Linked DNA regions of Notamacropus eugenii. The protein of the gene in region 2 purifies or fractionates together with the protein of the main gene of each other region. This does not show direct contact. Links are inferred from orthologs where the notes say so. Each region holds a gene or a part of one and is shown on either strand. Other genes may lie near its edges. The genes, in order: transducin-like enhancer protein 1 and EN1.

Region 1 (15,899 bases), on a different chromosome or scaffold from region 2:
GACAACACTGGGAGCCTAGAGTTCACCTCCCAACTCTTACTAACTTGGTGACCTTGGGGGAGTACCTTATCCTTTGCAGACCTCAATTTTAACCTCTGAAAAAAGGGATTTGAGCTAAGTCACCTAAGGTCACCTCCAGAGATACCTTTGATGTGTATGTATTCTATCATTAATGTTGGAAAAAAGGACTTAAAAACCCTTCGCCATAATGAGATGAATAAGTCAATAGCCTCAGAGTCGTAAAAAGACAGAATTCCGTCATTTTTCACATGGATTTTTGCCCAAGTGTGCCACCAAGACCCTTTGAATACAGATACACAAATCACAAAAGTACAGAAGGAGCTACTCAGCTCTAACTTGTCACTTGAACTCACTGCATACATACCAAAGACAAGAGACATATCTTTAGAGTACTTTCAAGTATACAAAGCACCTGGAAAGTAGTCAGCCATTTGAGCCTTAACAAGTCCTTCAGGTAATAAGAATCAGCCCCATTTTACAGATGAAGAAACCCAAAGCTCACACACCTCTATAAGTACCAACTGTGAGAAACAACAGTAGTTTCCATTTTAGCTCATTCTCATTTCATGTTGAGAGCTCTTCCTTATGCTTATAACAGAAATATGGCATGAAATACTTTTTTTAATATCAAAAGAGTCAGAATGCAAAGCAATTCAGGCTTTATGAATTTATTGAAATCAATTAAAAACTAATAAGTAAAGAGGGGAGAAAGTGTTAGAACATGATTAACATAGAATATATACAACAAACCAAGTCTCTCCAAGTAGGCAAACCACAATTAGACCATTTTTGATTTGGATGACAGTTCCATTTAAAAACTGCCAGAGATGTGGAGGTATGACGACACATGAGAATACAAAATTCAACAAACCCACTGAAAGGGGGAGGGGGTGGGGAGAAGCAACAGGGGAAGAGAAGCAGTCTCTCACACAGGAAACAAGCCTTAAGAACATTAAAGCCTGCTCTGTGGAAAGTTTCCCCATCACTGCATTTTTCAGGAACAAAGATGTTGTCAGAAATGACAATTTTTTGTGTCCCCTGATGATGCCTTGCTAGCATTTGGTTATAAGCCATAAAGCGGGAATAATTTCAGCCTGTCAGGAGTCTAGCTAATGCCCAGTTTCCCCCTAGAGAGAATTCCTGTCAAACGTAATGAGAGCTCCAAAGGCCTCTCTACAACATAATGAGCACTTAGGCCACGCTGGTGATCAGGCAGCAAAAAAGCATCAATTTGAGCCTGGCTACACCCTAGGGGCTAGACGTCACCGGTTTTAATAAGAATTATGATTACTAGCTACCCAATGCCTCCTCAGAACTTCTTATTAATGTGTGACATTCAGAAGGGTGGTTTTTTTTTTTTAAATGTAAGGCCACTTTAACATTGAATCATAGCAGAGCCCAACCCTGCACCACTGTAGTGGAGGGTCTGTCATCATTTACAATACAAACTGAATTTAAAAGGATTTAAGACTTTTGCTATTTAAAAAATATAGAGCATACCCACCTTTCACATTCTTCAAATCACTGAACTAGTTACAACAAATACACCAAATAATATATGCCCATATGTAGACAAAATATTCACACATGTTGTCACACATAATTAATTGCCCATGAAACACATGCACAGGGACAGATCTCTACTTCCAAACACATTTCTTATCCCTACCACACACATGCTTCTGACACTTTTATCTCCTTTCTCTTTTAAGGAAAAAGGAAAGGTCATGCAATTAAGCATGGTTTACAAAAATAATACTACTACCTATTCTTTAAATTCTCCAATAAATCTACCCATGAGCATAGAGACCTTACGTTTTTGGAAAACAGGAGCTCCAGGAGCACTATGAGTTATTAATTCCTCTGATTTCATGAGTTCAAAGTAAAACTCAACCTTTTATTACCCATTCCTTACAGTATAGAAATCTGGTCTTTTAATGCCATTAAAAAATTAAGTTGGCAAGCTGTTAGAACTCTGTGGCAGAAGTTTGTGAATTCTCATATGCTACCCCACCCAAAAGACCCCCAAACTTAACCAGGACTCCTTCTGACCTGTATGATCACCAAGTTTACAATCCCTTTGGATAAGGGAGTAGTTATTTATAACAATAAAAAGCCCAAATAACCCTGAACACGTTAAAAACAAAGTTTACTTTGAAAAAAGCTGTAATGAAAATTACTTAAAAATACAATCATAGTCTAAGTAAAGAAAATTATAATGTCTCCTCCCAAACATAGCTGAAAACAGGATTTCCAAAACAATACCTCAGCATTATCAAAATCTGCGACGAATTAAAAAGAATCAAAGGGTTCAGTTACAAAAGCAGAATTCAGCTCTGAAACACACTTGCTTAATGAAAGTCTGTGAATACAGTGAAGATCTGAAGCCTGAACTAATCAATTTCGCCCCTGTGCCCTAGTCGGTCAGCCACGCTCTTTAATTTAATGAAACAAGAGTTTTAGATGAGATAGCACATATACATCAAGCAAGAATTGTATTGTTGCACTTTGAAATGTGTCCAACTGTGCAACTTCATCTAATGATAATTTTTTTTAAGAGGCAATCGATTTCTGAAAGACTTATTGTACCAGCCTCCTGATGAAAAAGTGAACGTCAGCATATCTAGCGAATACTTACACCCTGCCATTAATGCTTTCTTTGGCAGACAATGACTACTCAATCGAGGGTCCTTTGGGCTCAGCAATCATTTAGCTTTTCTTCTCTTATGAGGTCCTTAGTGCCTTGTTCCAGTTCAATACTCGTTTTATTCACCATTATAGTAGCCATAAGTGTGAATTTTATGGGAACTTGCAAACTCATAGTCATAACCAGAGCTTTCCCAGTCACTAATCTTTCCAGGCTTTTAAAACCACTAGGAAACTCAGCTACTATCAACATATGCTACTCTCATAAAAGAATTTTTTTTCCTCCCAGATTCAAGACGCCATCTACCAAATTATTTTTAAAGTTATGTTTACCTACAAACCACTGAACTGGTATCATTATGCATTGCCACAAAACTACAAAAGAAAACCAGTGTTTGCTACATAGTTCTTTATATGCCTTTTCCATATTAATGAAAGAAAAGCAGCTCTTTTTACACAATTTACTCAACCATATCTACAAGTTGTAGTAGGAAAACCACTGAATTTGGAGTCAAAAAGTACGACTTCAAAGCCTTGATGTGTTGTTTGCCACCTGTGTGATTCTGAACAAGTCACTGCCCTGCCCCATGGCCCTTCATTCTCTCTCCTAAAAAAAATATAATAAATGATCTAAGGTTCCCTCAGGCTCTAGACGCTATAATATTATTACGTCAATTGACATCTGTTTAGTGCTTTTAGGTTTGCAAAGAGCTTTAAATAATATAATCTTTAACAATCCTGGGAGGCAAGGACTATAGCTATATTCCTTATTTACAGATGCACAAATCTAATGACTTACACTCAGATCCAGTAGGTATCTGAGGCCAAATCTGAACCCATGTACTGACCTTTCTATCCACTCTGCCACACTGACTCTTAGTCCTATGACTCAACACTATGTATATGAGTTCAGATTTATATACCTGTAACATATAAATGACAAGGTATCTATATACCTATAACATTCAAATGGTAAGCATAAGCCTATCCACGCATTAAAGTACAGTCAATTTTTATCTTCCTGTAAACAGAACTTATATTTTCATATCCCTTTTATCTAGTAATTTAAATTTTTCTGCAAATATAACGAGCTGCAGAACTTCTACCAAGTAATTATCAGAACAAAGTGTGGTACAGAAGAAAGAATGCTGGATGTGGAGATCATCTTAGAAGTGGATTCAAATGTGAACTTTGGGCAAAGCATTTCTGGGTCTCAGTTTCCTTATCTGTAAAATGAGGTTGCCAACTGGATGATTTCTAAAATGCTATTCTAACTGTAAGTCTGTGATTCTATGATAAATTGGGCAACTGAGACCTACAAATGGCTTTAAATCACCTGTTACCCAAAAGCAATGCCAGATTTACAGCCATAAACTGATTCAAGGTCTCAATTTGGAATTTACTTTAAAATCTTACCTGTTTATGCATTTCAATGTTTAACCCATATGACATTTCATAATACTGTGAAGAAAAAAAGGGAAAGAAAAGTTTCATTAACTCATATTTAGTACTACTAAAAAAATATATTTGTTATGGTATGTGAAAAGGAATAAAATAAATCTTTGATACCTACCATCACATAATGCCTCTGCATTTCTGTCTTTTCACTCGCCAATTTCTCACATTCCAATTTAAGGCTACAAAAACAAAACAGGCAACTTCATGTAAACATTATGTCACTTGTTTTAACATCTGCCTCACATATTTGCACTTCAAGTAAAAACACAGACCAATTTAGAAAAACTATAAACTATCAAAGTAAACACCCAAAAGCTTTGTCCTTGTATTTAATAGAGAATACAAGTAAAATGAATTCTATGTGCAGTTCATTCCATTATGATTCATTCTTAGGGTATATAAAATCCCAGGTACGGGGTAAAAAAATAAGTCAGGTCCTCAAACTAACCAGTAGTCTTATCATCTGTTAACTCATGGCTAGTTAAATTTTTATTAGGTTCGTGGTGTGGGATAACCCTCTGAACAGAAACTTGAACTTCAAACAACATATATTGAGTGTTTTGACTCAGTGGATTCAAACATCCCTCTAAGTTTTTAAAATTGTAATGGAAAAATTACTATTCCCTAACAGTCAACTAGTTTTACCCTAGTCTTTAAAACACACTAAAACATCACATCAGATAACCAATGACATAGGTATAGCCTTGGAAGTGTGTGATAAGAAAATACATGCCTTAAACAGAATATTGGACATTCCTGAAAACAATAAAGAATCCACTCACATTCCCTATTAAAATGGTAATTTATAAGTTGCCTCTGCTTTCTGCTGAAACTAACTTAAACCGTGATGGCATTTATCTCTAAAGAATAAAAGCTAATGCCTCGGTTAGAAGTTGGCTTTTAAGCTAAGGAGCAAGCCACAATATCAGTGTTTCTTCCACTGTTTAAAATTCCCACTGATTTGGACAGTAAGTCTACACTTGTACTCAAGTGCTATGATGAACTTCATATGCAGAAGCCTCAGTTCAATGGGGCTCTGAGATTGGGAACTTGAAATTCTATTTATTTTTGGGGATCTCCAAAGTCAACCTCAATGTAAATGGCCCAACAACTCTAAAGGTTTAAAAGGAGTAATCTTTCCACCATGAACTTTGCTTTGTACAACTCTATCCCCCAACATAACCAAATAGTTATTTCAACACTGCATTTGTCCCCTGCATTCCAAGACTAAGACATTGATTGAGCCAGTGTTTTCAGCTCAGCCTGTTGCAAAATAAATACATGAAGGGCAAATATTGACGGTTCTCATGTTAACTCCAAAACACACAAAAAAAGTTCATTTGAACAGCAGCAAACAGGACGCCAAAACAATAGGAGGAGGGGAAAAAAAAGAGGAGGACTGAGAAAAGCCAAGGAAGGGGAAAAAAAGAGGGGGAAAGTGAATGACAGGTTTTAACTGTGATTCCACACGCCACCGCCTGGACACAAGTACTAAATACAGCTGCCACCCCAGGGATAAGACAGGGAGAAACAGAAAACCAGAGCCCCCAACCCCCACCAAGCCCAAGACGTTCCACGCTGACATCCAAACCCCAGGGCAGGGCCAGCCAGGGTCGGCTCAGGACTGAATGCTCCCACTGCACGCACCTGTGATACTGAGCCTGCAGGAACTGAAACTCCTCTTTGATCCGATCCAGGGACTCCGGGATGGTGAATTTAAAGGGCTGACCTGCAGCCTGGTGCGGCGTCTGGAGGAGGTGTGGGATGGGTGTGCATAGATGTGCAGGAATAAGAGAAAGTGGGGGGGAGGTAATGTAGGGCAGAGAGGGGAGAGGATGGAGGGAGAGAGAGAGAGAGAGAGGTGAGACAAAACCCAAACAAAAGTTACCAGCTATCACAGGTACAAAAAGAAACTAATTTGTTTTTTCAGTTTACTTTAGGGGAGGCAGACGGCAACGCTCGCTCCCTGCCCCCACCCCGTTTGCCGAAACTCCCAGAGCCTGTAGAAGCGAGGTAGGAAATCTACCCCTGCCCCTCCCCGTCCCACTCCTGGGGACACAGATGGGGGATGCCCCTGTAATTCAGGTCGAAGTAGCACCCTGCTCCTAAAGGGCCTGCGAAGGTGGCGTTAAAGATGGGTGCCCGCCCCTCCTATAGGCAATAAAGATAATAGCCCTAGGGAGGTTAGCGGAGTAACAGACACCCCAGCCCCATCCTCCCAGTTCCCAGAGTCCCCTAAGAGGACTCGGGCCAGCCCTGGCCCCACTAGATCCAGGGCTGCAATTGACATGGAAATAAGATAGTGAACAAAGGGGGACCTGAGGGGGGGGCAGCTACTGGAGGTTGGGGGGGGGGAAGAGAGAGCTAAAGACCTTCCTCCCTTAGGTGGGAACAGAAGGGATGGGGAGAAGAAATGTAAGAAGCTTCTCTGTCCCCGTCCCTCTGCCCCGCTAGCCTATGTGCCTGCCGCCTTTAGAGGTGCTAAAAAGGGAATTAAAAGTGGGGGGAGGGAGGGGAAGGTGGCCAAGAGGGAAAAAAGCCAGAGGATTTCTGCCTCCACTCTATTTGTCAAAGAAAAAAACCCACCACAAAACAAAACCCATACGGCATCTTCCACCACTCTTACCCCACCCCCGCACCCAAAGCGGAAAACAGGGCCAGCAACTCCGAGAAGGCAACCTAAGCAGCCTCGAACCCCGCGGGGGGAAGGTGGGGCAAAGGCAGGGCACAACCCCAGAACAGCGCCTCCCCCAGCCTCCAAACCTTCGGCTACTTCCCCCCCCCCCCCAACATGCACCCTCCACAAGCACACGCCCAGGGCCCCCGGGCCCCGCCGCTCCTTACCGGGTGCCGGCTTTGCGGGAACATCGCTCTGACGGCAGCCGCTGCCTTGCTCCTGGGCAGCTCAATTCTCCGCTCAATTTCCAACTTTAATCCCGCCGAGAAATATTAAGACAGGAAGGAAGAAAGAAGATCCAAGCGAGAGGAGGTGGGGTGGGGGGTGGGGGGGTGCGCGTTAGACATGCACACACAAGCGCGCGCGCACAGACACTGACATTACACGCACATACGGACACGCACGCACAACAGCCAGGCAGGACCGGAGCCGGAGTTGGGCCACTTGGGCTCCCAAGGCCGGGCCCCGAGCTCAGGGCCACATTTCCCTCTCTTCCTGCTCACCGCCCCCACCTCCCACTGGGGCCAACGTCTCCCGCCCGGCCTCGGGGAGTGGGGGAGGGAAGAGGAGAGTTTCTAGGCTTCGGGAAGAAGGAAACGGACCCGAGGTGGACAATGGAATCCCCCAGTTCCGGCGCTGAGGTGGGAGAGAGAGGGTGGACGCACAGGTCTTCCTCCCCGACGGCCAAAGCCGGGACCAAGGTTAACTCCCCCACCACCAACCACTCCCCTCAGATGCGCGAGCTGCGCAGGTCCAGGGCAAATCAATCCAGTCTTTCCCCCCCACCCGTCCTTGCTCCGTGGGGGGCCAACTTGCAGGTGGCAAAAGAACGCCGCCCCACCCCCCAACAAAAACAAACTAACAATCAGGGGACCGGAAACCCCTGAGCAAGCCGGGTGACTTCTTGAGTTAAAGACGATATCCAGGGAGGGCAGCCAGGAGGCGAATCTGTAAGGAATTGTCACCCCACGCCGCCCAGACAGGGGTCGGTGGGTGCAAAGGGGAGCCGAGGATCACTCACATATAAACGTACCCATCCGTACTCGGGCCGGCTAGCCTCAAAGGCGCTCCCGGGAGGAGGTGGGGTCACACACACACGCACAACGCACACACAGAGCCCGGGGTGGAGGCTCCGAGCCAAGTGATCACCAGCAACCACAGAGAGAAGGGTAATGATGCAAGGAAAGTGCAGAGACACAGAGCGCAAGAGAGGAGGGGGTGGCCACGCAGCATATGCACTCAAGCAGTCTTGGAGTGGAGACTGAAAAAAAAATCCCAACTAAAACAAGCCGAAGCAAGGGGACGAGGTGGTGGGTGGCAGTAGTAGACAGAGGCAACAGTCTTCTTGGCCGTTGCACAGAAATCCTAGTAGCAGAAAAGGCGAACCAGCTGGGGCAATTCTCAGTTACTCAGAAGGGTGCAGCCCTCCCGGGTGCAGCAGCCTCCCAGCTGCTGCCGCCGCCGCCGCCGCCTCCTCGCGCCTGGAGCACATCGGGGAGCGACTCACACACACCCATGCAGCAACCGCCGCCGCCGCCGCAGCATCTCCACATTCATAGACACCCGCACGGCCCCGCAGCCCTGCTGCCTTCTGCCGCTGCTAATCCTTTATGGGTTTTTTTCTTTTCCTTTTCCCCCCTGGCACCCCCCGCCCTTTTTGTGTTTCCCTTTTAACAATCGACGCTCCAGCCACAAGTAAAGTTCCCCGGGAATCCCGGGGAAAACATCCATAAACCGAGGTACGATTGGGAAGACTCCACGGAGCAAGCCCGTTCGCTAGCTCGCTCGCTCTGATGATCTTCTCTGCCTTTTTTTTTTCTTTTTTTTTGCAATCAGGCAAACTCCACAGGGCTATCGAGAGTCACAGAGTGACCAGGGGGCCGGGCCGAGGTGAATCGGTGTGGTCAGCCGGCCAAGGGTCCGGTGACGCCGCTGCCACTGCCCGCCAAAGCAGCGGCACCGAGCGGGTAGCAAGCAGCCGCCTCTCAAGAAGCGGGACACAATGTATCCGGCGGTGCTGCTCCAGCTCCGGCTCCTGCTCAAGCCGCCGCCGCCGCCGCCGCCGCCGCCTGCGCCTCTCGCGCTGGTAACATTAACACGCGGTTTCACACTCCTCTAGCTAACCAGCGGCCGGCCCCGCCCACCCTGGCGCGGGCGGGGAGCGGGGAAGGGGGGCGAGGAGCCGAGGATGGAGTCCGTGTGGATGAGGGTGGGAGGAGAAGGGGAGGAGGGGAGTCCCGGCCCAACCAATCGTCCGTTCCAAGCCCCAACGTGGGATCCTGACGACACGCCTCCCAACGTCCTATAGCAGCGCAGTACCAGCCTCGGCCTTTCCCCCCCTCCCCCCACTTCACCATTCTCCCTCCTCTCCTCTCTTCCATCAGCACTGTCTCCCCTGTCTCTCCTCCCGCCCCCTCCGCCCAGCCTCGTCCTCCCCGGCTCCGCGAGGAAGCGTTCCTGGAGGAGCTGCGGGACGCCCAGGCCAGCCAATAGGAAGCGGGGAAACGCTGAGATTGGCACGGAGGATGGGAAGGTCGGTGGGAAGGAGAGCGGCAGTACCGACCTGTCAATCAAAGTAACGTGGGGGAGAGTGAGCGCGCGGGCGCGTTCTGGGGAGAAAAGGGAGAGGGGGCGAGGAGCGGTGTCGATAAGAGTGTGTGGCTTTAAAAATAATATCGTTTTCTTTTTTTCACTTAAAAAAACCTCCAGATATCTGTGACAGTAGTACCCCAGTGAGGCAAACCATTCGTTATGATTGGGAATGGAGGGTAGTTCAAGAAGAGCACATTTTTCCCCCTCATGGAAACCACTCGTTTGATACTGTTACTTTGAAAGCCAGGTCACTTTCAAAATGTCTTTCAGGTTTGTTTTTAGCAACAGTTACCTTTTCACGGACACGAAAGGGTAGCACATGCACTTGAAAAGGCAGAGTGGAAGGCATTCCTAGGCATTTTTACGTATAACATCCACGTTGAAATTGCGTAGCATTTTATTTTTTAGGATCTCAAAGCACTTTTTAAAAACCACAGTGGTTTTATTTAACACAAGGCTAGAAAAAGCACTAATGACACAAATCACACATGTCGGCAGAAAAGTCCTGCTACTTGCTTAGGATGAACTCAAACCCTGTTTTGCAAATTGTAACCAGCCTATGTTGTGAATCAACCGCAGACTCTTAAGAGTCTTACACCCCAGTTACCACCATAATCTTTCCAAAAGCTGAAAAGAGAGGAAGAAATAGTGTGTACTGACATCCCCTGTGTACTGGCAAACCTGTTTTTCCCCCAGATAGTTTTTATGGTAAAAGAGCACTGAAATATTTCAGGTGATGAATTGGGGAGTGTTGGGTAAGTGACATAGTTGGAATTCATAGATCAACTCAAAGGTCTTTGTATAAATAGAATGCATTGGTAGTTTTCAGTTCTGTCAGCGCAAATGTATGCATACAAACTTTAAAGGCTTTAATTTTGCAAAGAGTTTTCAGTTTTGTTTAAATTATAGTCTTTCCACATGCCCCATGTGTGAATGTTATCTTTGTCAAATGGTAACATATTCTTCAATTGGAAATGTACTTCTTTGACAAATATGAATCTTATGTTGGAATTTAGTTAATGAGTCTTTTAGTATTAATGACTACTTTATCCCAATTGTCTTCTTTAAAAACTCTTAAAGACTCAAGTCTTTTTTAAGCATTTGCTATTTAAACAGATGCACTTTATTTAAAGATTCTTGCATTTACAAAGATCATTCTTCTTAAAATATTTAAAGGATCATTTTATGCAACATCTTTCACTGTTGCAGTTTTAAAACATTTATAAGATTGATTTTTTCATGATTGTATCAAGCCTCAAACTTCAATTATAAATGAAAAACAAACATTTTTAGGCTGTATATTTGAAGGCTATAGTAAATTCTTAAACATTCAGAATTTTATCTCTGCAGTCTACTAAATAAGTGGAATTTTCACTCATGAATAATCACAAACATTGCTATTTGTCTTGTTTACATGGAAAATAAAGTCGCTGGAAGTGCTTCCTATTTTTGTCAGATTATGTCATCACATAAATTCAGCCTTCCTCCCCTCCTTGACAAATACATTTCAAATGCAACTATATGTATACAGACCTATATGCATATACATATACCTCTAAGTGTATTATGGACATGTAGATGTTTACATGAGGGCAACATCTGGTGATTGTATCAAAGATCCACTTTGGTTTGATGGACAATATTCAAATGATATCCCATTATGTTTACCTAGAACAATTTTTCTTCTGCATTCATAGGATTTTGTTCACTTTTATGCAGAACATGTGAACATATCATAGATATGCATGCATATACGAGGATACCTAGTGAGGGAGACAGCAACACACCTGCTTACCCAGCTTTGGCTGGTGTGAATTTTAACCTGCTGGCACAAGCTGGTAATTAGATATAAACAGACAAATTAAAACAGTGTATTTTGGAACAGGAACAAAAACAGTGTTGCTTCCCCTCTATTCCTCCTCTTCCCTCCATTCTCCCTACTCCACCCCACCCCATAATAATGTTCTGTAATTTTTTATGAACTTAAAATGTTTTTAATCACTAGGTTTTCCTGTGTATATTGGAGAAAACTCTAAGTTTCTTTAATGACAAAGGTCTTCCTGACCTATGGCAATTGAGACACCAGGACTTACAGATTTTTCCTGTGTTATCTCTGGAAAATTATCTTTTACAATTGAAAGTCTCTAATTATGTGCCCTAATGATGGCTACTTTTCACCAGTTTCTTCTTTTTCTCAGAACAGCATCCCTGCAAGATATAGAAGGCTCTGCCCCTTTTCAAGGTCATATTTTCTCCTTGATTGTCAGACTGTAATAATTATACTGCAAAACTCTCATCAAACTGCATTACAAATGATGGTGTTTAAACAATCAAGCAGCTTTAATCTTATGTTTTAAATAAATAATATATGTGCAGATTGCCTACAGTATTATTTAAAAGAAAAATAGAAAGTGCCTACTTATCAAATTCATAATTTCTACTCTTCTATTTGAAGTCTGTTAAACATAATTTTTTTAACCTTCACATTCATGTATGAATATATGGATAAAAATATTAAATGCAGTTTCCATGTAATACTGAGCTTCTGACGAAGAGTACCTTTTTTTTTTTTCCAGAAAAGGAAACAAAGGATTGTGGTACTGTTCATTTTACCATAGATGCGCATGTACATTTTTTTCCATTGACATGTTGATTATCAAATCTTCAACCTACTAATAACACAAGTATTTCCACTACATGTCCAAATGAATACTAGATGTTACAGATACTAGATAGTATTGTTTCCTTAATAGGAGAAAATCTTTTCCTGTGATTTATTCCACTGTTCTGCATTGCAGAGCAATGAGAAAAAAAAGTTAATTGAGGTAGCTAATCATAGAATCCAAAAAAATTATGTATCTTCTTAAAACGATTACCTCTTTTTTTATGAAACAAATAATAATGGGGTCAGGCTTTTTAAAAAAGCCATTTTCATTGTCCTCTCTACTTTCTAGTTAATAGTTACCGCTTTCATTATTCATCATTTAATTTTTTTTAGCTAGGAATTTTTCTTTGAGCCTAACCCTGTCAGAGGGGCTCCAGAAGGACTTTTCTCAGCACTACTTTATAACCTTTTGCTCACCATGCTCCTTTACTAAAAGAGACAGAAAAAGAGGGGAAAAAAAGACTGAAAAGTTGAAAAAAATCAGTAGCAGATCCATGCAGCAGTAAAACCTCAAATAAAATCAGATCCAAAGAATCTCTTGTGGTTTCTCACAATATGGTAAAATTAGAGATTGCAGGAAACCAACAAAATTAAATTGGGAGCATTTGAAGAGAAACGAGTAGACTTTATGAAAATGACACATTGACTGGTCAGTATTGTTTTTTATCAACAATTTCTTTTTTAAGGCATAGATCAAAGAAACCTGCACATGTTTTCATTTTATTTTAACTAGAAAATTACATCCAGATGTTTAATAGGCATTTGGTTGGTTTTTCAGCATTGATTAGATATGTTGGTACTGTTTGCTTACAAGTGTAGCCGGATCATTAGCTAATGCAAAGAAATGTTTGCTGTGAGTTGCTAATTAGGTCTTTTGGAAAACCTCCACGCTCAGGAACAATTTGTACAGTGGCCAGAAGAACTTGTGGTACTTGAGAAGTTGCTTTCTCTTCTGGGGGTGTGACTGTGTGTGTGTGTGTGAGTGTGTGTGAGTGTGTGTGTGTTAGAGGAAGAGGAGGGAGAAGTGAGACCCCTCTCCCTAATCTCCCTTTGCCTACAGGGATTGCAGTTTGATCCCAATGGGTTGAAGTGCAAATAAATTAGGAAAAGAGACCACACGCACTCACATACACAGATAAATGTACTGTTTCTGCCTGAAACTACCTCCATGCTCTTAAAAAAAAATAGCATCTGAAATGCTTAGCACTAACGGATGGAAAATTCTCAGTGTTAATGTTATCAAATACACAACATTTTAAAGCATACTTTAGAGGCAGATGGGGAAGCCTTTTATGATAAATGAGTACACTTGAATTCATTACTGTAGTACTTATAATTAAAAATATCTCCTTTGCAACTTCAGTACTTGTACTGGGTACAAGAGACAAAGCTTAGGAGGAAGGAAGACTTAAGGATGGGAAAAGGTGTGAGAGGAAAGAAAAGAAATTCAGCTGAGAAGAAAGAGCCTCTGAAAAAACGAAGTGTTTGTTTTCACAACTCACCCTTTTGTTTACAGTTTAAAAGATGAATAAACTTGCCAGAAATTATCCATTTACCCTTTAGTCAAAGACAGTTTTTAGGCTGCTAGGCTCCTATTTGATAAGATTTTCAAGGTCCAGGCATCTCTTTTCAGGAGATACTTGACCATGGCAACAACATAAAATAAAGACCACCACCACTGCCTCAGAATACCATCCTTTGGCCTTCTTTGAGAGAAATTTTTGATATATTTTAAAATATAAATCATAACAGAAGGAATATGTATATATAAGCAATAAGCATAGACACACAGATATAAATACCATCACAGCATCTTAATGTGTCTATATATGAACAATATAAACGTATTTACATATTATCCACATGGCTGAGTAACTTGTAAGTGTTAATATATTCTGATTAATTTAAGATTTTTCACACAAACAGAACAGAGACATGATTAGTCTTCTTGAAATAGTTCAAGCAGAGTGCACTTCTACCAGGGCTCTCCACATCTACAAGTGCGATGTCCTTGACAGCCAAGGACAGTATTTGGGCTTTGTAGGAAAAAAAATGCCATTTGCACAGCCCATTAATAGTAGGATTCACTGAAGTTAGGTACCTTTTCTAAACCCATTCCAAAGATTGATGATATTAACTACAGTGTCCTCCTTCCCCCTACACTCTTATCACCATCACCACTGCCACCCTCTCCAGTTTAGCATTTAGTTCAACAAAAACTGAAAAGCGAAAGACAGAGTAAAGAAAAGAAGAGAAAGGCATTTGACATTCGTTCTGGAGAATTTAGGCCTACATATGTCCAAAGTTAGTGCAGATCTTGGCCCATAGAATTCCATGTAATGAGCCTCCTACCCAGAAGATCAACAATATTTTATTTAACCACCCTTGAACAGATATGCCTGTTTTCTGTTAAGTGTAAAGAGTTCTTGCTTACATTCTCATTAAACTTTCAATGCAAAATGCATGGTTGATCATTTCTGGGACCAGACAAAACTTTGGTTGAACTTACCCACAAAAAATTCATATTCAGTGAGTTGCAAATATTTAAACTGTCTAGTCTGACCCTGTCATTTTACAGATAAGGAGACTGAGACCTATAGAGACTAAATGATTTGTCTAAGATCGTTAAATGGCAGGTGTTGGCATGGAACAGGACTTTTGACTCCAGAACTTGCACATCATACCACTGCCTCATGTACCTGACGACCCGAGGAACAGTAAGAGATATAAGTTGGGAGTGGTGTCAAAGATCTCAAAGTTTTAGGGCCTGTGGCTTTCACCTCCCGTTTAATTTATATATTAGATTCACCTAGTTAAAAAACTGACTAATAATGTTTTAAACCAAAAAAGATTTAAAAGAAATAACTCTCAACTTGGTTTTTTTCAAGTCCTTACTGATATAACCAAGTATTCTTGCATTGAATTACTTCTCTTTGTTCGCTACCTTAATAATAGCTAGCATTCATATAGTCCATTTTTAGTGGGCAGGGAAGTGCTGAAGTGAATTGAGGCCTGGAGTCTGGAAGGCTTATCTTCCTGAATTCAAATATGACCTTAGACACTTACTAGCTTGTGACCCTGGCCAAGTCACTTAACCCTGTTTGCCTCAGTTTCCTCCTCTGTAAAATGAGCTGGAGAAGGAAATGGAAAACCACTCCAGTATCTTTGCCAAAACAACAAAAACAAAACAAAACAAAACAAAAAAACCAAATGAAGTCACAAAGGGTTAGGTTTTACAAAGCATGTAATAAGTATGATCTCATTTTATCCTCACAATAACCCTGGGGTATAGGTGCTATTATTACCCCCATTTTATAGATAGAAAAACTGAAACAGATGTAAAAAAGTGACTTCCCCAGGGTCCCACAGCTAGTAAATATCTGAAGCTGGATTTGAAGTCTAGTCTTCCCGCTTCAAGGACTAGGGTGAACCATCCACTTAGCCCCGTGGCTTCTCTTTGGTTTCTTTCTATTGTTTTGATTTTTCATAGCTCATTTCCTTAATTCTTCTATACAGATTATTTTACCTCCAATAGTAATCTGCTAATATAAAATGGAAATCTTTAAATAAATCAGGGTTTTACACTGGCAGTCCCTTAGTGTATTGTTACATGGAGCATCGAGTTCAGAATTACCATCAAATCCACAATAAAAGGAAAGAACAAGTTCTCTGGATGTTAAGTATTTGGAAACCATGAGATAGTGGAAAATAAAGTTTATTTTCTTTTCATAGCTGCTCCTCTGCATAGTTGCTTTGCTGGCTTTTTTTCGCCCTCAGTAAAACAAATAATAAATTGATTTGGGCTGGGTTAACTTTTTCTTCAGCATTTTGAAAGAGTGC
Region 2 (15,372 bases):
CAGTACTTTATGTACTGTGGGGAGAGGAGATAAGAGAAGTGACCCAACTGAGTTGAGCTGCAGGTGGTAACTGATCAGTCCCTGTCGGGGGAAGTTTGATGAGGACATAATGAGATCCGGATTCATAAAATAGGAGAGTTCCACCAGATGTGGACAGTATTTTTTTTAGGTTGCTTTGGAGGACGAGGCACCCATTGGAGCTTAAAATACCAATCCAGGTGAATCCCCAACTCCCCCCCCCCCCCCAAAAGGAGATCTCTATCCTTTAGGAGTTGGGAAAGAAAATCAGAGGGGCCTGTTTTCCTTTTGTAGATATTAATGTTACTCCACCTAGGCCCTAGTTGACTCGATGCTTCGTTGGTTAAATGGGGGTTTAATTGCCCCCCAAAAAGATTCACTGTAGAACAGAGGTCTTTTCTAGGAACTTAGAACTGATTTCCCGATGGAGAGATTGAAACTCGAATCTGGGTATGTTCTCCTAATGGACTTTCCTTCAAAAAAAAAAAAAAAAAGCTTTGCCAGTCTCCCGCAGAATACAATCCCACGCGCACAAGTTTACACACATACATACATACTCACACACATTGTCCTGATCAAGAATAAATTCAGTTGAAGCCTGCGAGAATCGTGCAGAATAGTGAATATCTTTTTGCCTTTAGCTCAGAATTTTGAAGTCACTTTCCCAAGCTGGTTCCCTTCGGATCCTTGACCTTGATGGGCTTGGAATTCAGGGGTCGGGAAGGGGATGGATGCAACTTCTAGGTCCTCAGGTTCTAAGGGTTGCCCACTGTCTATCTTCCCATAGCCTCAAGCTCTTCACTCCGTAAATGGACTTAATTCCCCTCCCCTCCCATATATTCCCCTAATTACCCCGACTCCCCTTGCGCTTTTGTTTTTCTTTTCCAGAAACAACTAACTTTGGAGTCGGATGTCCCCAAAGTTCTGTCGGGAGCGCTCTCTCACCAGAGAGTTCAAAACATCTATAGTTCCAGTGGCAGCTGCAGGTCTGTGATTTGGAGGGTGGGGGAAGTGATGAGTGTGACTTGAGCACAGTAAGAACGCAGGGAAGCTGGAATTGAGGAAGACTGGGATTTTGACCTTTAGTTGATGGGTACCAGTATCTTAGCCACTGGGCTAAGAAAGTGGCTGAAGTCCCAAAGAGCCAAGGCCAAAGTCCTTGACATGCCAGAAGGGTGTGTGTGTGTGTGTGTGTGTGTGTGTGTGTGTGTGTGTGTGTGTGTGTGTGTGTGTGTGTGTGTGTGTGTGTGTGTGTGCGCGCGCGCGCGTGCATGTTGTGTTTCGCCTTTCCTTTTCATTTTCAGTCCTTGACTGCTGTGTCCAGACCTGCGCTCTAGATCTCTGTCTAGGGAACAACCTCCTGGCGTGGAGTGGAGGTGGGACTGGGGAGAGGGTCCTTACTTAGGAGTTGAGGATGGGGAAACAGTCAATTTTAGAAGAAAGAAATTTTTAAAAGCGAGGAAATGTGGAACCCTGTTGGAGGTTTTTAGACAAACGACCGATATTTTTTTTCTTCTGCTTTTCTTTTTCTTCTCTGTTTGATCCCGGGCCGCTGGAGAATGGATTTAGCTGAACATAACAAGAGAGCCCAAGAGGCGGGGAAGGCCCCCTCCCCACGAACATGCACTCACGCATACACACACACACACACACACACACACACACACAAACACACACACTCGCACAGCTCGTGTGGACTACGCACCGCGACTATCCGGCGATCGAATCCAAAGCTGAGACTCGGACAGGTGGGGACACGGACAGGACACCGCTCCCAAGCGGGCTCTGTCTGAACGGCTCTGGAATGGGGTGGGAAAACCGAGTTTTCAGTTGTATTATGAGGTGGGAGGGGGGAGAGAAATAAAGGACAGAAGAAAATCAAACCAGAAGCTGAGTTTTAACTTTGGTTTTAGTTGAAGGAAAGCGGAATTATTTCGACTATCTCGGTCTTGGGTTTTGGACCCCTGGGGTTCGAGCTGAAGAGTGTGACAGTTCTAGGAGCAGGAAAAATAAATAAACTTATCAAGTCACATTTTTTATATATAAAGAGAACGATGGTTACCAGAAGCCCTTAATCCTGGTGTCTATCTCTGTGTTTATCTTTCTGAGACCAGAAAGAGACTTATTCGGGGGAAGAAATCGATAGAAAACGCCCCCTTTCCCCAAATCACAGCGAACCAAGTTTTTCCCGGTTCTCTGTATGAATCTTAAAATGTTTGCATTCGTTAGCCAAAACCTGGGAATGCAGAATTCCTGTCCATCTTAAACACATACACGAGACTTGGGGCAGGGAGGGTGGCCACATTGGAATGAGTGTAGATGTTAGGGGAGATCATGTCCTCTTTCGAATCTCTCTAATTTTAAAAGATGCTTTATTTTAGTGACATTATTTCTTCCCTTTCCAAAGTCTTTCAAAGGCCAGACCTATAAGGGTTTTTTGTATTCTCTTGGGAGTCTGGTTCTGTTCTTGGAAAGGGTGAAAAGGGACAATTATTTCAAACTGTATAGGTACGATCCACTTAGAACCACTTCACCCAAATGGACACGGGAAGGTACTTAGTACTTGGGGTGAAGATGGGAAGTTGGGAAAAATGGGAGAGAAGAGTGGGGAAAAAATCCAACTAAGTTTTAATTACCAAAAAAAAAAAAAAAAGAAACCTCCACCCAATTTATTTAATGGTAGGATATTTCTTTGTAAACTAGTATCCAACTTTCCACGAATATGCACACACGTGTGTACGTTTTACACACACACAAACTTATGGAAATATATTTCATCAAAGCGGACTATGGTCAGCTTACCACAAACAAATCCACCATCACAATTTCTGGGACTAAGGAGGCGTTTTGTTTCCAGGGATCTTTCTCTTTTCTCCATTCTTTTTCTTCTCCTTTCTCTAGACTCACCCCAGCTCGAAGTTTCCAGCAGAACTCCTTCCGGTACCTATTACCAAACGAATCCCCCACCCCCATTATTGCTTTCAAATGAAGACTGAATCCCCAAGCGATAATTGAATTAGTCTATTGAAAGGACTGTCAGGTACAATGACGTGGTTCGAGCCCGCACATTTCCCAAGGTCTATAGGCTTTGGGGACCTGAGATGTATAGTCTGACCTTACAGCTCATAATAATACTGCTGCACTTGTAGTAGAAATCTACTCGCATTCACTTCCAACAAAACCGCTGGTCACCCAGTCCCCGTAGGAAGACTGGAATCTATTGTGTTAGAACAACTCATTTATGTCCTGCACCATAAGGCCCCAATGTGATCTGATCTAGACTCGAAATAGGATTACCACCGTGTATATTAAACACATGGATATACTTCCTATCACACACAGAGAAAGACTGTCGATTTTTTTTTTTACAAATTATTCTTCTCCCCATCTTCAAAAGGAGAAGAAACAAAGTATATACAATCTTGACATTAATTTCTGCCTTAACTAAAAATAAAAATAAAACTATGGTTAAAACGGACACCCTACTTAAAGGAAAGACTGTCAGGAATGCACTCTTACAGCCACACACAAACACACAGGGACACAGACAAACAGACATAACAACACACGCATACTTCTAACAGAAGTCTAAGTAAACCGTGTCCTATATGCGATGGGTGTTGGGCAGAGTGAGGAAGAGAAGAGGAATGGACCTTGCAGATTGTTTTCCTTCAATTCTGAATATCTCCAGGACCCTCTTCACCCCTGGGGCCTTAACTCCCCCAAACTCTTAGCAACATTATCTCCTTGCCCCCCCCCCCCCCACGTTAGTGTTCTCAACCTATATGCACTTACTCCATGTCAATTCCCCAAATTCCTTCATTCAATTCCTACCTTACTTTGGTAAGGGGAATGGTACACTATGACATAATAAAAGACACCTTCCCCCTTAGATGGAAATGGAGGATGGTCTTAGGGGAGACCAAAACCACATGGTTTTGCCAGGGAGAAAGTGAAATATCTACCTTACTTTGGTAAGGTAGGAAGAGAAACAGGTCAGGGATCAGACAAATAGCAACCACAGTGACTTTAAGTCTGTGTCACAGAAGCAACCCTTTTTCCTTAAAAGATGGCAATGGGAAGGGGGAATGGTACACTATGACATAATAAAAGACACCTTCCCCCTTTAGATGGAAATGGAGGATGGTCTTAGGGGAGACCAAAACCACATGGTTTTGCCAGGGAGAAAGTGAAATATCTCTCTTGAGCCCAACGGGAAAGGTTGAATCTATGACCACCTGGTTTATAACTGTCCTTCCCTTCTATCATTCCTCCCTTGTTTTCTGGGGTGGATGGGAGAAAGGGAAGCTGTTGGGAGAGGGGACACAATAGCACCTACAAACTTATCGACTCTTCTAAGATTCAGGCCCCGGGAGGCAGGAGTAGATAGAATAGAAAGTGCTCAGGAGGAAAGAAGCATCTATCTATCTTCCCCCTACCCCCTCCCTCGCACACACACTCAGTGCCACCACCTTTCTCCACCCCTCCCTAGGATCCCCAAATCCGGATTTTCTCTAGAGAGAAAGAGAATTCACATCTCCCGAAAAGAAGGAAATTTCCCTCTACCAAACGTAGGCAAATGGGCCCCCTAAGGAGGGCATCTCTTTACGAGAGAGCACTCTCACCCCCTTCAGGTAATTTCCAATTTTATTTTAATGCACCAGAGTTGAGCCAGAGAAGGAGTTCAGCTTGGAGATAGCAGGGAGGCAGGGCGGAGGTCATGAAATGCAGAGGTGAGCTGGCCGAGCGACAGTCCCGCGCTGGGGCCGCGGCTTTGGGGGCTGGGAGCGCGCATTGTGCTCCACATTGCAGTCGGAGCTATAGGGCCGGCGGTGCATTTATCATCCCATTACTGTAACAAATCCGGGCTCCACTACATGAAAGGTAAAATGAATTACCGACGTTAAGCCGTCAATAAAGTCATTTCTGTAAATGGTGTCTCCAAAGGGCCGCCGCATTATTCAGCTGGCTTTATCAGCAGCCTGGAAATTACGTGGAGGAGTCGGGCCGCGTGGAGCGCGGGCCCCGCTCACTTTGATTAAGCGTCTTGCCAGCGCAATGTGACAGAGCTTTTGACCAGGTTTTTATTCACAGTCCTGTGATGAACGCCAAGCTGATCAGGCGGAATGAAGAGTAATTAAAACCTATAAATTATCTTCCGCAGCCCTTCTCGAGGCGTCTCCTGCAGGCGAGATAACGCGTCGAGACCCTATTTACGGCGCTGAAAGGGACCGCGCTGCACAAAAGCTACGTGGCTAAATAGGATATTGATAGTGTCCTAATTAGAATTTAATTAAGTACCCACGCTCGCTTGCGGGATAAAGATTTCAATTTTGCTAACTTAAATATAAATAAAATCCCACCCCCCATTTTGGTGCCTCTATGTCTGAGGGGGTTGAGGGAGGCACACTGGGGGAGAATGCCCCAATATTTTGTTAGATAGGGAAGCAGAGGGACCCCCCCCCCAAAGGTGAGTGGCGGTGTAATTTGAGAGGCCGGAGTCAGAGGGTAGAAGTCCTTCCGAAGTACAAGGGTCCGAAGTATTCCCTCCTTTTTTCCTCATTCTTTCTCCAGCTCCCAACACCCCGACATCTTTCTCCTTTATTCCAAGGGCCACAGTGATGCCGGCGCCTCCAAAGGGATCCATAGATTAATTGTGAAAATAGGAACAGAAATCAGAATCCCTGAGCTGGGGCTAGCTCGCCTCAGTTACCTCAGTTGTGCCTTGTCTAGACTTGGCATCCTTTTTCATTTTTCCCCCTTCCCAAGTCTTCGTCCCCCAGTTCAGTTTTCAAAAAAAAAAAAAAAAAAATCTAGGCAAAGACTCCGTGTGTGTGTGTGTGTGTGTGTGTGTGTGTGTGTGTGTGTGTGTGTGTGTGTGTGTGTATTCCTGAAGTGACTGTTGCCTGGACCAGGCCTCCAGGAGAAGATGGAGATGAAAGGGGAGAATTGATCAGAATCTTCACCACCCCACCCCAGGGTCTCCAAATAACCTCTTTTCTTCCCTCTCTTCTCCTAAGGGGAAGAGGTAGAAGAAGACAGGCTAGGATTCCAAACCCCTTTCACGAGAAACAATACTCCGATTCTCCGTCTCTCAGGGAAAGGGCTGAGGCAAAAGAGGTAGAATATTACGAGGTGTCCATATGCAGGGAGTGAACCCCCCAAACAGTTCTGCTCTCAAGGAAATGTTAGTAAATTGAGGGACGGAGCTCAGTCTGCTGAACCATCGTCAGAGGTAAACAACTCTATAAACCTTGATCAGACAGAATTCTAAGGGTTTCAGAACATAGTGGATATGATTGGATAATGAACTGGTGCTGGTTGTGGTGCTTAATTTTAGAAGAATTGAAGGAGAATAATTATTCTGTGCCAAAAAAGGGGGAGGGAGAGAGCAAGTATTCGAAATCAGTCCTTTTCTTAAAAAAAAAAATAGCAGAAAATAATTATCAACAAGATTGGCTTTTAGCCAGTGTCCCTATGGTTCAAAGATCTTCCCCCACACCCCCGTCTTCCAACCGAGAGCTTCCCGTTCCCATTCCGTGGTATAAGCGTCTGGAGATTTCCAGGCAAGCAACTTCTTTTCTCCTTGGAGTTGCTGCTGCCGGGCCAGTAGGCTAACTGCAGAGCGGCCAGCTACTACCGATGTTCTTTAGGAGGGTTAACTGTCAAACCCGCTTCTTGTCTTATGCGGGCAAGAAACGTATACTGGGATCTCTGCTATATGCTCAAGTACTTCCAAGTTGAATTTCTTGCACCCCAGTACCTGTGCTGTCTGGCCACGAGTTAACTCGAAAGAGCTAGGAAAAGGAAAAACAGCAAGAAGACTGAGGGATTCTTATCAGACTCAGAAACGGTGCGACAACGTACTGCCTAAACTCGTCCTGCTAGCTTGCTCCAGATAGTTTCCTTGATACAATTAAGAAAAAGGGAAAAAAAATCGATCTCTAAATCCGTATTAAATTAAACCCCTGCTTGATAACATCGGAGAGCAAGTTTCATATCTTTATCATATCACCTTCATAACCACCATTATCATCATCATCACTCATGCTCACTCCAGTCAAATGACACCTTCTCAATTTCCATAGCCGAAAGTAAAAGGGTGAGTTTCTTAGAAGGAGAGGGGAAGGGAGAAAAGTCTTTTCCCCTCGGACCCTGCTTGGCCTGCTGAATATGGACCCTTAAGCCTATCCTGTATGACTTGAAAAAGTTTTTTTTTAAGGAGTTAATTTCATATTTGCCTACATCCCAAATGACATACCCCCCCCCCCCCCCTACACACACACATATACACTTGAGGGGCAGGGAAAAGTTGGAAGCCGGACGTAGGAAGAACGGGAACTTTTGAGAGGGGGTGGTACTGGTGAAGAGTGGGGTGGAGGAATTGCCGAGTGGAGAATGGACGCGACAGGCTGCCCGGCGACTCCCCCTCTCCCCGCTCCAACCCCAAGGATTATTTATCCGCAAAGTTCCAAGCCGACTCATTGGTCTGCGTCACGGGTGTCAGCGAGAGTCGCGGTTCGCTATTGGCCTTTCACACGTGCGGCCCAGACTCACGTGCTTCCGGTTTGAATGCAAAAAGTGTGCCTGGGTGATTTTTTTTTTTAAGAGAGAGAGTTTGTGCAAAGATCGGAGCTGTCAGAGATTTGAAAAAAAAAAAAAAGAAAAGAAAAAAAAAGCCCAGGCGCGGTGGTGGAGACACTCTCTCCCTGCAAAAAAAGCAAAGGCGATTAAAGGCGCTGCCAACCTCGAGCTGTGGGCAAAGCTGAGCATGACACTTGGGGAAGTCAAACCCCTCACTATTGCTTAGGAAGATGGCTAGATTTTAAGGACTCGATTTTTTTTTCCCTTTAAGAAAAAATATTTTATTTGGGGGAGCTCCTCCTGGTGTGGCTTTCCTTCCTAAAAAACAACAACAACAACAAAAACTGAATCTGGTTGCAAAAAGAAATAGCGAAGTGTCTTCATTTCTGGATATCTGCAAATTAGAGAGGAAAACAGATCTGCTCGGTAAAAGAGAGACTGGAGACAAGCGTCTGATCTTTTTCCCCCCCTCTTCTTTTTCTTCTCCTTTTCCCTCTGCTCCCCTTTTTTCTCCTTCTTCTCCTTCCTCTCCTTCTTTCCTCCCCGCACCCCCACCGGCCACTGGCAAAGTGGGGTGGAGAGCGAAGCGGGGGGGAGGGGGAAGGAAGCCGCGTCCGGGGCGGCGGGGCGGCTGAGTATGGAAGAGCAGCAGCCGGAGCTTAACAGTCAGCGCGACTCCACCACAGGCACTGCGAGCCACAGCAGCAGCAGCGGCAGCAGCAGCGGCGGCAGCAGCAGCGGCAGCAGCAGCAGTAGCAGTAGCAGCAGCAGCGGCGGCAGCAGCAGCGGCAGCGATGGAGACAGCGTGCCGGTGTCCCCGCAGCAAGCTCCCTCCTCTCCTGCAGCGCCCTGCCTCCAGCCCCTACCCCACCACCATCACCATCACCACCACCACCACCACCACCATCACCACCAGCCCCCGCCGCCTCCCCAGCCCATGCCAGCGCCTCCTCACCAGCCGCCCCCGCCGCCGCCGCCGCCCCAGCAGCACCGCACCACCAACTTTTTCATAGACAACATCCTGAGGCCAGACTTTGGTTGCAAGAAGGAGCAGCAGCAGCTGCAGCAGCAGCAGATCTTGGTTGGAGCTGGAGGAGGAGGAGGTGGCGGTAGTGCTGCTGCTGGTACTGGTGCTGGTGGAGGAGGAGGAGGAGGAGGAGGCCGAACAGAGCGAGACAGAGGCCAGACAGCGGCTGGGAGAGACCCGGCCAATTCTCTGGGAACGCGGCCGGCCAACCCGGCTTCACTTCTCTGCCCGGCAGATGCGAACTGTGTGACGCCCGACGGCTCTGCGTCGGCCCCGGCCGCCGCCGCCTCCAAAGCTAACCCAGCGGCCGCGGCTGCTGCTGCTGCCGCCGCGGCCGCGGCCGTGGCGGCGGCGGCAGCTGCTGCAGCCGCTGCTTCCAAACCTTCGGAAGGCGGCGGGGGGAGTCCTGGAGCAACTGGCGCTAAATACGGGGAACACGCGAACCCGGCTATTCTACTCATGGGCTCTGCCAACGGCGGGCCAGTGGTTAAAACTGATTCGCAGCAGCCGCTAGTATGGCCCGCTTGGGTCTACTGTACGCGTTATTCAGATCGCCCATCTTCTGGTGAGTACACCCTTTGAAGTGAGTCCTCACTCCCCTCTCCCTCTAGGGTCACTGGTGGACACTCCCCATCCCAACCCCCGCCAAGAGTTCTTAAGAACAGAAATAATAATGCATTTTCCTTCCCCCGTCCCTCCCAACCTATCCTATTCCTATGTCTGTTCCTCTTGCTTCCACTTTTCGCATATTTTATTTGTTGCCCCTTTTCTACGATATCTTCATCTTTAGCCCAGCCTGAAGTTCTGAACAGTTGGGGTTGGCACCGAGGAAGATTCACTATTGAATTCCTAACACTTTAAAGTATTTAATAATAATTTCTTTTTTTCCCTTTCTTTTTTCTGGATTTGACTAAGCACTTGTGTTTGATAAAGATGGGAAGGCCTAGGCTAGAAAGTTCGATTTTTATATGGACAAGATTATAGAATGTGCAATCGAATTTATATACACTAGCAGTATTCTGCAATACTGATGAGAGAGAGAGAGAGAGAGAGAGAGAGAGAGAGAGAGAGAGAGAGAGAGAGAGAGAGAGAGAGAGAGAGAGAAGACAGATTTTTTCCTTGGGTACGGGGAAGGAGGGAAGGAGAGGCCCTGTCGTGGGGCAAAGAAACAAGGGGATTTTGTAGAATAATGTCAGAAAGGAATCACAAGGATCCCCTGGTCTGATAGGAGAAAATAGCGTTAAGATAGTCCAGGAGATGAATCTTAGCTTTTAGATGAAGGAGATGGGGAGGGACAATCTATAGGACAGTGAGAAGATCCTAAGAAAGAGAAGCTTGAGCAGGCCGGAAAGGCCAGCTTCTGAGACTGCCTACTTGCACTGTTGTTTGCCTGTGAAACTCGGCTCTCAAAGCCTTCTGTTCCCGTTAGCCCTCTTTCCTTTTATCTCAGTCAAGGCACAACATCTAACACTCGCGATTGTTTTGAGGTGTTTTTTCCCCCTCCTACACTCCTTTTTTTCTTGCTTGGTATCACAGGGACCTTAGCGTGCTTTCCATTGGTGGGTCTCCCATTTCACTGGGTTGCTCCTAGGTTATTTCCTCAGTGTCGGACATTGGGTCTCTCAACCCTTAGCCTCCTAGTTCCCTTTCAGACTTAGTGGGAAGAGAAGAAGGAATCCAGATCTGCTGGGTTCTCAAATCCCATTCCAGTCAAGCCCAGCCTGGGCTGAGGAAAGAGGCAGAGTTGAGAGTCAGAGACTATTTCTTCGGGTCGGAGCTCAGAACTCTATGAAGGTATCCGGGAGTCTCCCAAATCCCCATTTCCGTTTTCTTCTCCCTTCCCTTCTTTCTTCAGTTCTGTTCCGAATTACTTGGGCTGCAGAGCCAATCGATAGGCCGCTATCAGCCCCAGCCATCTCGATCCCCCCGTTATTGACACGTCCGTCTCCCTGAACCTCTGAAAAGCCGCTTTGATTGACTCGCCTGATGGATAGAGTGATTGAGCTGTCAGGTCGGCTGCTAGGGCTAGCCAGGGAGAAACGATTTTATTGCCTGTGCTCAGTGTGTCCATACACATGCACCAACATAAACTCAGCCTCAGACACAGAAAGCGTTCTAGGCCTCTCTGGCTATGATCGTCCCCTCTCCCTTCACAGTACCAAAAGAAATAAATTAATCATTTTCTCCATCCTCATTTGGGATTCTTCTACCTTGTCTGGGTCAGCATCTTTGCCCTTGGTAGTGGGAGTTTTAGAGCTAGAGTCCCAGTTGTATTCCCTGCAACTTTCTGGATCCTAGGATTATCCTAGAGAGAATGGAGACTTTTGGTTTGTAGTGGTAAGTGGACTTTAGGAGTCTGGTCTCCACTGGAAGAAAAAAAAATCTATTTGCAATCACCTAGAAAGCTTTTCAAACAGGAAGGTTGAACTCCAGGATCCCATCGAAGAGGTTCCAGCCTAACCTAGAACTCTGATATTGTGATACTGTATCCTCTTTCTCTGGGATGAGGAGAGTGGATTATTTTAGAGGAAGATCTCAGACTTGTCCCCAGGACAAGGAATGGCCTGGCTGCCAGGCCCCAGATTCCCTAGGCTCTGACTGTAACCTACAAAAGCTAATGGTGTTTCTTCTTGAGGTTCATTGTGGGGTTCAGACCCCTACTCCATCTACCAGTTGGAGACTAGAGTGTTTTCAAAGCTTCCTTGTTTATATTCCCTTCTGGCAGAATCCAAGCTATGTGGCCTGTTTCTCTTGAAGGTGGCACTCTCACTGGAGTACTCCTCCAAGGCTTTAGGGTTTTTATAAATAGCAAGGCTTTGGTTAGCTAGCTTCTTGGAAAGGCCAGGAGACTTCAACTTCGACTGTTTATCCCTTCTCAAAATCTCCATTTCTAACTTTTCCATCCTCTGTTGCAAATACCCTAGAGAAACAAATATCAGTAAAACTAGGATGAGGATGTAGGTGTACTGAAGCATGGATCAGGTAGAAGGATAGGCCAACTGACAGCTGTGCGTTCTCAAAATCTCTATCTGTCTGTCTCTGTAGCTCGGTAGTTGTCTGTCCTTATCTCTATCCTAATTCCCTGTCTTCTACCGACTGGTAGAGGATCAGCGGAACCTCCGTGTATGAAGAATCCTTGGGCTTGCAGAATATAGCAGCTGGGTCCATGGGGTCTGTGGGTTCTGGCTGCTGTATGCCTATACTCTTGGCCTCTGGATGAAGCCTTGAATTATTTGTAAAAGCTCTCCCCCTCCCCCATTGCCCCTCTCTCATTTGTGTTTTGATCCAGAAATATCATCCAGGGAAGAAAATGTCCAGGGAAAGTGTTATCTTGAAAATGGCAAGAGGGGCTAAAAATTCTGATTCCAATTCCGATTTCCTCGTGTTTCCTTTTTAATTTTCGTTTCGTTACATTTTGTTTCATTTTGTTGGTTGATTTCTTTTTACAATTCATGAAATAAGTAGTAGAGGCCTTAAAAACATAAAAATACCCAAAGTCAATGAATTTCGAAATTGCTAGGAGATGGCCCCTAGCACAGTCACGGAGACCTCTTGTCTGAATAGAGGCAGGTATCCCTTTCCAGAAAGTGAACACTGAAGAGGTGGTGATTTGGGAAGAGAAAGCAATAGGGTTACAGTTTTGGAGCGCTTGCAAAGGTTCACTGTTGACCATGCTGAGTTATCGGTTCCCCTCTAACCTTAGCCGGGACCATGGCTCTTGCAACTGTTCTGGGTGTAAAGTGTGCTTGCAGTCTATTTCCCAAAGCCCATGGCTCTGGCCTCACTTCAGTTGGCGTTGTAGAAACTTGTCTGTAACAGAAGGCATGGAACTTCCTCGCTTTCCGCGGCGGGGTCTGGCATTCCCCAGGGTCTCACAGAAAATAACGGAAAGGAAGGGGGCCTGGGGCACTTGAGCCCAACCGGGCCGGGGTTAGAGCGAAGCTTGTGGCAAATAGAAAAACGGCTAAGGACGGGGGCCAGGCTAAAGCCGTCTATTTCTTGGTCCTTCTCAGGAGACCTTGACCCCGCGGGCTTAATTTTCTCGATCTCTTTGCTTTTCTTCTGATGCGGGTGAGGGTGGGGGCGGAGGAGGTTTCTCTGGATTGGGAGGCCAGAGGTGGGGGAAGGGGTGGCAAGAGCGATGCTGTCTTGGTAAAGAACAGTAGGTATTGGTTTGAAGTCGTTTCTACTAGTATTTATTTTCTCAGTCTCGGTGGAACCGGGATATTGAGATATTGGAAGTTAAAGGAGTGGTCGTGAAGTGGGGGATAAGGGGGACACACAAAGTGATTCGGCTGGGGTTCCAGTTGGGGTGTCAGCTCCTCCTCTTCCAGCTGCCCTGTCCCCTTCCTCATTGTCATGATGGGAATGACTGGTCCCAGCCTGCAGAGTCTGCTTCCATAGGCAGATTTGGGGTTTTCCGTGGGGGAAAGAAGGGAGCAGAAGGAAAGAAAGCTGGGCGGGGGCCCAGATTTCTTTTCTAGCAGTTCCTTTCTTCCTGACATTATCTGCTGTTTCTCTGGTCCCTTGGTTTCCGGGGCCTGGCTAGTTAGAATCTTATTCTCAGGTGAATGCCTTTGGCTCTCCCCTCTCCCCCCATTCTTTTAACTGGTAGTGCTAGCAAGTGGGGGAAATCCTACAAGCTTTCTCTTCCCCTCCTTCGGTCTATATTAGATTGTGGGGGTCCTGCAGCTGTCGGCCATTTTTTTTCCTTTCTCACTCTTTACTCCCCATCAGAAGGAAGATAAGAGTTGGTAATAAGGGACAATTGGTTTGGCCCAGGAAAAATTGCTTCTTGAATGGGGGGGTGGGGTTGGGATACTATGGAGGGAGGGGGACTGCGAAAACAGAAGAGGTTTTAGTAGCCAAGAACTATGATGCACCCCCTTTCACTGATACAATTCACACAGCTGCCTTTCCACCTTCCTCTTTCTCTCCCCCTCCCCCATTTTCTTCCCTCTTTCCCCGTTTCTCTCTGTCCTCTCCCTCCCCTTTGCCTTCCCCTCCCTGGCCTGTCTCCCTCCCATGTAGGTCCCCGCACCAGGAAGCTGAAGAAGAAGAAGAACGAGAAGGAAGACAAGCGGCCACGGACTGCTTTCACCGCAGAGCAGCTGCAGAGACTCAAGGCGGAGTTCCAGGCGAACCGCTACATCACCGAGCAACGCCGGCAGACCCTGGCCCAGGAGCTCAGCCTCAACGAGTCCCAGATCAAAATTTGGTTCCAGAACAAACGAGCTAAGATCAAGAAGGCCACAGGCATTAAGAACGGCCTGGCTCTGCACCTCATGGCCCAGGGACTTTACAACCATTCCACGACCACGGTACAGGACAAAGAGGAGAGCGAGTAGTCACTTCCCCCTTCTCCTCCACCCCCACCCCCTGCTTCACGCTGGCTCCTGACACCCTCCCATACCCACTCTCTCCCCGTTCCCCTCCTCTGGTTCAAACGATTTTTTTTTCCAGGGAAGAAATAATAAACAAAAGAGAAGGGGGGAAAAGACTTCGAACGGCAAGTCATGTTGAAAGAAAAAAAATTTTTTAAAAAGAGAGACTCGGACAGGTGCTTTCGAAATCAGATCTATTCTCTATTAATAGTATAAGGGACGGAAATGCGAACACTTAAATCTCTATATAGCCAAACAGCTTACGACTTTGTATATATTTAATTTCAGGTAAGGACAAAAATATGTGTAGCGATCTCTATTTGCTGGACATTTTATTAATCTCCTTTATTATTATTATTGTTATAATTATTATAATAATTATTATTATTTTATCCCTCCCTTTCCCCCCTGTTTCGTTTGCGTTCCGTTTTTCTTTTGAATGTGGTCGCTTCTTGGTCCTCCCTCTCCTTCCACCCCTCCATCCCTCTTCACCTCATCACTGTCTCTGCCTATCTCGGACTTTTCTTTGTGTGTGTGTGCGTGTGTGTGCCGCATGTGTGCCTGAGTGTGTCTGTCCTTTAGTCTCTCCCACCTTCCTCATTCTTTCTTCCTTTTCTTCCTTTCTTTCTTCCTTTCCTCTGCCCCCCCTTTTTTTTCTGAGACCTGTTTCGACCCCGCAGACTGCGAGACTGAACCGCCGCTACAAGCCAAAGATTTTATTATGTTCAGAAATCTGTAGTCTGAAATAAAGTGTACACTGTGTTCACAAGGCCGCTTCGCTCCTTCTCTTTTGGGTCTTCGTCCGCCCGCCGGACTCGGGCTTGGGCTGGTTGGTTTCATCTGGCTGACCATTAGAGCCGGACTGGGATTTCTGGAAAGGATGGATGTCTGGCAGAATGGGACCTGAGCAGCATTCACTCCCTAGTTTCCCTATCTTCCCATACTAGGGGAGTAGGCATGGGGTGGGCGGCAAATGGGAAACCAGTTATCTACTCCACAGGGCGATTCTAGGCCAAAGCAGTTTCTAGAGAAATGGGACCTTCGTCTCGGGACCACGAAATTCGAGAGATCTCAGATCTCATCGGGAAACAAATGCCCATCATTGGAGAGAAGGCGCAAAAAAAGCAGGAATGGAAGGAGGAGAGGGAATGCCAACAACAGCACTTTTTCTTCTGGAGGAGTGCCTACTGTTGGGCTGATAGGGGCTTTGCCCAGACTGGCACGTGGACCCGATCCGGGAGCTGTGCTCTCAGCGCCTTCATTCCCCTTCTCTCTTTAATAAGTGTTTCTTCTAAACCAGAGGATGGAAGAGGGTCTCCCTGCAAGGAGGTGGGGGTGGGGTGCGACGGGGATCCCTTC

Evidence for each region.
Region 1: the proteins of EN1 (region 2) and transducin-like enhancer protein 1 purify together in Homo sapiens (affinity purification with western blotting; 4 studies listed by BioGRID and IntAct, with this or other methods). This does not show direct contact. The link is inferred for Notamacropus eugenii from reciprocal best matches to the Homo sapiens genes EN1 and TLE1.

What each region holds. Positions count from the first base shown.
Region 1 is NC_092872.1:72,088,914-72,104,812, forward strand, and holds the start of transducin-like enhancer protein 1, read right to left. Parts: upstream 7,320-15,899; 5' UTR 6,994-7,319; coding exon 6,970-6,993; intron 5,874-6,969; coding exon 5,773-5,873; intron 4,305-5,772; coding exon 4,241-4,304; intron 4,129-4,240; coding exon 4,084-4,128; intron 1-4,083. UniProt on the Homo sapiens protein: Transcriptional corepressor that binds to a number of transcription factors. Inhibits NF-kappa-B-regulated gene expression. Inhibits the transcriptional activation mediated by FOXA2, and by CTNNB1 and TCF family members in Wnt signaling.
Region 2 is NC_092876.1:308,202,345-308,217,716, reverse strand, and holds EN1 (homeobox protein engrailed-1), read left to right. Parts: upstream 1-8,162; 5' UTR 8,163-8,239; coding exon 8,240-9,194; intron 9,195-13,660; coding exon 13,661-13,977; 3' UTR 13,978-14,782; downstream 14,783-15,372. UniProt on the Homo sapiens protein: Required for proper formation of the apical ectodermal ridge and correct dorsal-ventral patterning in the limb.